Linked DNA regions of Lepisosteus oculatus. The protein of the gene in region 2 purifies or fractionates together with the protein of the main gene of each other region. This does not show direct contact. Links are inferred from orthologs where the notes say so. Each region holds a gene or a part of one and is shown on either strand. Other genes may lie near its edges. The genes, in order: sufu and gli2a.

Region 1 (3,917 bases), on a different chromosome or scaffold from region 2:
CGTTATCATGGGATGAATATTAAAGTCTATTACACTTTACCCTCTTGGCACAAATATTGTGACAGAGAGAGATCCAAGAAGAGAGCAGAAGAGGCCAGAGGAGAGGAGTGAATTAGATCACTTTAACCTAACATTACTGATCTTCTCCATCTATAAAATACAAATAAAGTCTGTCTCGTTGACCTAGTCATGTCAGGTATGCTGCTCACCAGCAGTCAAAGTCAATCACTGGTGTCCATCTGCATCTTCTTGTAATGCATGTGTTTTATTCATACATGAAGAAATGCTCACCAGACACTCTCTTCACTACACCAGACCAGATCTCAAGATCTGTTGTGCCTACAGTCCCTGTTGAGTACCAACAGTTCTCATGAGCTCCCTGAAGTCATCAATGATCTCCTTTCTAGCCCTGATCATAAAGGGTATCCACCACCTACTCCACCGCCAGACCACTTACTGTGGCTGAATAATTCTACCTCAGCCTAAATCTCCCTGGTCTTCAGCACGTCACCTGAAAGAACGGGTAATGACAAATGCATCCTGAATTTATTTACAATGTCTCTGTAAATGTTAGTATGAAACTCAAAATTATGCAATTTATAGCCACTTGCTTCCCTCATTGGTGTATAAAAAAACAAATATATAAATATCCACTTTACCAAAATGAGTTCCTTCTGAAATTTTGGTCTAACAGACAACCACTGAAAGAATTTTAATCACAAAGTCAGGTTTTCATTGGTGACATTATAAAAAAAAAGTGTTAACACAAAAAATGTGTTAAGGCAATAGTAATTTTTTACCGTTCTTATAAAGTGCACCCCTATTTATACTCAAATATATTTCTTAGGAAATAGAAATATAGAAGTTAATATAGGAGCAATAGAAGTTAAAAAAAACAAGCAAATTTGACTATCTACCATGTGTAGGCACATTCAGAAACCTAAACGGGGGTGACTCAGTCAGAAATAAACTTGGCTGCAACTGAGTACCTAACCAAACCACAAGAGATCAGCATCTGCGGGAGCAGAAAATGTGTTGGGTACAGGGCATGACGGTGAGGCAGCGGACCAGAACAGCGCCCTGTCTCAAGACCTCAGCCTGATCCCTGTCAGTCACTGACGCGCAAGGGATCACATCTGCCCGCATACACAGCAGTCCTCTCCACACACACACACATCAGTTCAAACAGTTTTTAGCGTGTTCTGTACCGTCATGTGGCGAGAGAAAGGAAATCCCTCACGTATTCGCGTGGGAAACCTACAGTATACACACCGTGAGCATCAACAGTCCTGGACTTCAAAGCAACCGTGGGACCATTCTTGAGCCCGTATACGGCGCAAACACCAACCGAGAGAAGTGGCGCTGATGCCCCTAGCGTAGCGATGATACTCTACCACCCGCTCAACACCGACTTGTCACCCTGCATGTAGCCAGGCTCGACGGTTCTGCTGGTCTGTAAAGGACACCCGCTGTGGAAATCAGACCAGTGCTCCTCCTGACAGAAAAGCCCTGAAAGACACAGCCAGCTCTCCGCTCCGGGGTCGCATCTTCTCTCTTTCTCGAAACTACTCTCTCCAGAGCTCATGGCCTCGCTGCCTACACGGCATGGGGTGAAGGGCTTCTGTGCAATGTCCACAGATTTGGGGGGGGTTGTCAAAAGGAAAGCCCCCTGAAAAGCTGTTTCCATCACAGTACCTACGGGTCTGGGACCCCTATCGCCCGGGAGTGGGGGGGGAGATCACTGTGCTCTTACTTATCCCCGAGACTCGAAACGGGTTCCCTTCACCGTGAAAACTTTGTCTATATCGACCACAAGGACGAAAGTGAGAAAGTTCAGCCCGCGAGTTACAGCTCCGCTAACAGTGTAACCAACATCAATGACAAAAAAAATAACCCCCGAACTCCAGCTGCACGGCACTGCGACCCTCCTCACTGGCCAGATTACGGCTGAACCGTTCAAAACTTTATATTAATCTCAATGAAGTCAAACGCACAAAACTAGCCCCATTTCCTTTCAAGGTTTTACAAAAAAAAAGTCTTGCATCGGCTTGGTGTTCTGGCTGCTGCAGGCAACACTCACCAGTATTTTACGATGGCTGTGACTTGCAGCGGGTTCGGCTGATCGGAATACAGCCGCCTGCATTCCCCGTAAATGGCTTGCAGACCCGGGGGGAACAGCGACGCCAGTCCCTGGGCTCCGGCGCCGCCGCTAGGCCGCAAATCATCCATCCCCGACACCGAGCTCCGGGGGCTGCTGGAAAAAAAACAGAGCAAGGCTCTCTCTTTCCTTCCACTGACACAAAGTTTGCAATTTACCGCTCCCCCCTTCCCAAAACCCAGCTATGTCTATTTTGGAGTCTCCTGTTTTCGCTAGATGAAAACGCGAAACCTGCCCCCCTCTTCTCACCCCAGCGAGGAGCAGCTTGTTGCTTCTCCAGTGAACGTCCGAGCACTTCTTGAGTGACACCTTGTCTTGCGAATCAGCATTTGGGGTGGGTGGGGAAAGCTGCCATCATAAGACAATGATTGGTTGATCTGGGTGTTCATCGGCGTGGAGGCGGGCACACCGCAGGAGTTTGGGGGCTGGGATTGTCGACAGTACTTGGGATTGGAGGGGGCGCTGCGCTGGGAAAACCAGTGCTTCTCTCTAAACCCGACTCTTAGCTCCACCTAGTGGACGCATACGGACACTCCTGTCTATGACGCAAATCATGTCAGATAGACATAGACTTTCTTCCCCTAAAAAAGTAATAAAAATTCCTTACACATACATAGCGCTTTTCTGGACACTCCACTCAAGGCGCTTACACCACCACCATCAGTGCAGCCCCACCTGGATGATGCGACGGCAGCCATAGTGCACCAGTACACTCACCACACACCAGCTATCATCTTGGTGAAGAACAGAGTGATGAAGCCAGTTCATAGATGGGGATTATTAGGAGGCTTTGACTGGTAAAGACCAGTGGGAAATTTGACCAGGGCACCGGGGTAACCTATTCGTTTCGAGAAACGCCCTGGGACTGTTAATGACCACAGAATGTCAGGATCTCGGTTTTACGTCTCATCCGAAGGACGGCGCATATTTACGGTATATTGTCCCCGTTACTATACTGTACTATGTACTATATTAGAACCCGTCACAGACCGCAGGGTGAGCGCCCCCTCCTGCCCCCACTAACACCACTTCCTGCAGCAACTTTAGTTTTTCCCAGGAGCTCTCCCCTCCAGGTACTGACCAGGCTTACACCTGATAAGCTTCAGTAGGCTGCCAGTTGTGAGCTGCAGGGCAATGACTCATGGAGTACTTTATAAACTACATATATATATATATTATTCCTAATCCTCACAGGGGTCGATATTGCGGATGACTGTTTGATACTGCTACGATATTGGTTGTTGATTTGCTCAAGAGAGAAACTAATTCTCTAGTATCACAAGAAGTAATGAATGAGAGGCTCACCTAGCCCGTTTGACGGTTAATGCAGTCACTGCGTTAATGCTTTTTGTTAAAGCAAACTTAATGCAGTTAAACTGCAGTCAGAACTGCAGTTTGTTTTGAACAAGTGCACAATCTTTAAGACACGTTTCATAAACGTTATGTATTTTGTCCCATAACACACGATGCTTCTTTGGAGCAAACCAACATCTCCGTGTTAAAAAGCGGAACACTTTCAGACAGCGTCCTTTCATGTCTAATACAACACTACACAGTTAAGGATTCATAATATAAAACCCTCTGAGGCTCGTTCGGTACCAGCATCTAGTTCAGACTTGTTTTTCTAAATTACTGTTGTACTAACATTGGTATGAGTCATCCCCGCCACAACCTCAGGAAGGATGAGGATAAACGGCTCTTTTTAGAGATTTATTTTTAAAATGAAATCTAGTTTTAGCTTCATACTTAAACAGGATCT
Region 2 (3,917 bases):
TTCATCATGCACTCACTGACATCTCTTAAACATCTACAACAGATACAACTATATACAGATGTATAAAACATCTGTCTTTATACTCTTATTGGACAAGTGCCAATTAGTTTTGATTGGTATCAAAATAAACACACCTCTAAAAATGTTACAGCTCCAAACTTTTTGTTTGAAACACTTATTCATTCCACACCACAGTCCCCCCGAACTCTTAGCTGAGGTTTCCCAACCAAGTCCAGTGCAGCTGTACAATTAGCAGGAGAAGGCAGGTACTGTGAAGTCTTGCATTTTATGTACTGTAGTTCAGAGGACGGTGGAATTTCTGGAGCAAGCGAACGGTGGTGTGAACATAGTTCGCTGAAAAACTGCAAACAAACAGAACAATTTGGTGGCACTGCCTGTGCACGACTGGAAAAAAAAATTGCAAATCTAAGCACAATGCTCCACTTTATCACCTAATATAAATAATAATCCTCATCAGTTCTGCAGTGTAAGCTACATCCGCTTAAAGGCACAACTGTCAGGCCAGTGTCTCCTGAGATAAAGCATGAACATCCTGATCTGGATGTATTTTTTACAGATATTTAGGTTGTGTCATTACATATCAAGCTGGCGTTTCTTTTACAGTCTTCGCTGGCTGGCTGTGAGGCACACCCCTCCTGTGAATGACACTGACACTCATGCTTCAGGCAAAGGGTCAGCTGCTCTGAGCCTTGGTACACCTCACAAATAATGAAGTGGGGAAAGAATGTTAAAAACGGAAAGGAAGAAGTCCTAGTTCTAAGACACCGATGTACCTTACCTCTTGCTATGGCTGAAGGAGAGGGCTTTTTGCTCAGCTCTGGGAAGCCATTTCCTTCTATGCTTGCTCCCTTGGCATCTTTCTTCTCTGCCGTAGTCGGTGCTGAAGTCTCCATCGTGGATGACGATACCTCAGCAGTGACAGAGACCTGCACAAAACAGAAGGAAACAGCCAAGCTGAAGATAAATCACATGCTGGCTGAACAGTGGGAACTAGTGCTCAAAGGTTTTGTTTGCAGCATTGCAAATGAGCTTCAGAAGGAAGCGAGACATCGGCGTTTGTTAAAAGTAAGCAATTTTAATCGGTTTACTCAAATGCTGCCTAAAGAACAAGTTTGAAAACAGGGCCTTGGAGCACCGGTGTCCCTGGGACTAGTTACACAGGAGAGAGGAGAAGAGGAACTGCTCACTGGAGCCAGTAGAGGGAGCTGCCAATGTCACCATCAGTTGTGATGAAAACAATGTGAACCTGGTGGGACTGACTGCATGTTAACAGACCAACAGCATGGTAAAGGTAAGCACTCCAGAGTAAAGAAGAGTTCGGTAATAATAAGGAATATTTTGTACAAATCCAAAATAACACCTGTACTGCCCACTGCAGATGTAAAAATACTGTTGCAAATTATTGTTGCAAAGTTTTTAATTGTTTTTAAAAAGAAAAGTAAGGACATTGTATCCACAAACTGCACGGTTTTCACAGTACTGCATCAGATCCCGGAGATGCAAAAAGTACAAGTTTTAAAAGTCAGATAATGAAACAGTTCCTTAAGTCACACTGCCAAACCTTATACTAGAACAACATCAATTATACCCCCTAGGAGACCAAAGAGACAAAGAGACTATACATAACTTTGGACAAAAAAAAACCAACTAAAACTTGCAGGCAAAAACAGCACACTTATAACAGATAACATTTTTTCATTAAGTGAAACTTCCTACAGTACTTTATGCTCCCCACTCCTTAGTATTCAAAATTACCCGAGAAACAACATCCTCTGATTCTGCTCAATTTTAATGTGATATATCTGAGAGAACCCAGATCCAACCAGGTATTTAATTAAACAAGAAGGCATGTGCAAAATGCCACAAAGCAATTAACAGAACAAGACCCTGCCTGCCGATCTTCCACTCCGTCTATTAACATGTTTGCATCCTCATCTAAATAGATGCCGACTTGGCAGCAGGTCGGCTGTTTAACTTTGTGGAACCTACAAGATTATCCTTGGTGCAGCGCAAACAAGTGGTGGTTTTTGCCTGAAAGAAAACTCCATTCCAGGGCCTTTTCTGTTACCCCAGCATTGCAGGCTCCGTTTACTTTTCATTTCAAAGGGGGCTTAGTTTTTGTATATAACTTTAAGTGGATTTTCTCAGCTTTGTGTGTTTTCTCCCCCTTTCATTTAGACTGCAGCACGGAGCAAGTCAAACTTATTTTGTTACTTCAGAAGAATCCTCGCTCTCTCTTTGCGTGTTTAAAACAGCTTGTATTTGGATCATAACCTGAAATAAAGCGCAGTAAAAGGAACAGAACTGACAGGTTATTCAGTTTTTCTCGTATTGCTGTCAAAGGGTTGGGATAAACAGAACGTCCTCAAGTATAAACACAGCTACAGGTACAGAGACAGACATGCGGAAGATTGTGGTGTGAAGTTTTAGCTTTGCAATGGAAACCCCGTGGTTTCCAACTGTACAGTATCAGTTATATTTCAGAAGGAAATTAATGAATTAAAAGCTTTATCTACAAGCGTATTCCTTTCCACGAGCGTTTACTCCGTGAATCTGCACCTTGAACCCAGACCTTGTAACGATTAAGTCTTTGAGTACATATGTTCAGAGTCGATATAATTCTGATCATTTTGCTTTTTTTTTAATTAGGAAAAAAAAAAGAAAACACAGACTTTAAAATGCGCGTTATCCGTTCTGTATTCCGCTCACCAACCCGTAGTTCATTCGTGTTTTCCCAATATTTTTTGAACAAAGGCAGCGGACTTGCAGCAGCGGTCAGCGGTGTGTGTTGGACGTTGTGCCTCAGACGCGCCCTGTACCTACGGGAGGGAGCAGCGTGCGAGGTGCGAGGTGCGAGGTGAGGGGATCTCGGCTCAGGACAGCTCTGCACCAACCGTACAGATGAGAGCCGCACTGAACTTTGCTGGTCAACTCAGAGGTAAGTATGTATGTCGTACGTAATAGGGCGTAATACGTGGGAGTCATTTTTTTAAAACGAAGACGTACCCTAATTTACACGGCGGGCCGTTACAGCTGTGAGCATCTTCTCTGTGAACTACTCTTCATGCACAGCTTTTCACTCGCTGGGGAGCTCGCAGTTTTAACAACAACAACCACCTACACTCCCCAAACCATGTTCACGCCTGACAGAAACGCAACGATAAAAGACAAGATCTACAGCGGTGAAAAACTAAAAAGTTTACACCTGACAAAACTGCAGTAGGATTTTATCGTGCTAGGCGAGCGTTTTGAATGAAGTAACGATTCCTAGACATTTCCCTTTTATTTTTTTAAATGACATTTTAGGTGTGTGATGTTTTGCATAAGTAATCCTGGGGACGTAGGGTAATACATTCGCTGCTTCAGACGGCTCGCAGGCGAGTTTGAGGAGCTAATTGACATTACCAGAGAGAAGTCAAGGTTATTTTAAACATAGGCCGGGACTGCTCTGTTTCTGCTGTTGGACACCGGCGTGGGAAACCCATCAGTGTGGAACAAGACTAGGTGTGTTTAATACAGTATGTCATATCAAAAGTTTGCGTTAAGCTTTGCTTTACACTTAAGAACTGAATCCTTAAAATCCTTAAAAGTAAACATTTCACATGCAACAGTCCAGTGTTCATGGTTTTGTTGTTTTTTTTTCTCAAAAACTGAAGTAACTGTGTAACTGGGTCACTTCTAAACATGTCCCTTTCACAAAAAGATACGTTTTCATTATAATGTCTAATACATTATAACTTATAATGTACAATCATTTAACACCCGACAGCCCTAGAGTCGTTTAACTTGTGCCTAAACTTGCTTTTCAATGGTAGCGTGATTTTCCCTCCTGAAGCTTAGCATTCCAAGGTTGCATGGCCACACAAATGAACACACATTTATGCAGAAGCTATCAC

Evidence for each region.
Region 1: the proteins of gli2a (region 2) and sufu purify together in Homo sapiens (affinity purification with mass spectrometry; 3 studies listed by BioGRID and IntAct, with this or other methods). This does not show direct contact. The link is inferred for Lepisosteus oculatus from reciprocal best matches to the Homo sapiens genes GLI2 and SUFU.

What each region holds. Positions count from the first base shown.
Region 1 is NC_090699.1:45,292,232-45,296,148, forward strand, and holds the start of sufu (suppressor of fused homolog), read right to left. Parts: upstream 2,563-3,917; 5' UTR 2,548-2,562; coding exon 2,408-2,547; intron 2,255-2,407; coding exon 2,081-2,254; intron 1-2,080. UniProt on the Homo sapiens protein: Negative regulator in the hedgehog/smoothened signaling pathway. Down-regulates GLI1-mediated transactivation of target genes. Down-regulates GLI2-mediated transactivation of target genes. Part of a corepressor complex that acts on DNA-bound GLI1.
Region 2 is NC_090707.1:4,049,768-4,053,684, reverse strand, and holds the start of gli2a (zinc finger protein GLI2a), read right to left. Parts: upstream 2,869-3,917; 5' UTR 2,746-2,868; coding exon 2,731-2,745; intron 948-2,730; coding exon 800-947; intron 1-799. UniProt on the Homo sapiens protein: Functions as a transcription regulator in the hedgehog (Hh) pathway. Functions as a transcriptional activator. May also function as transcriptional repressor. Requires STK36 for full transcriptional activator activity.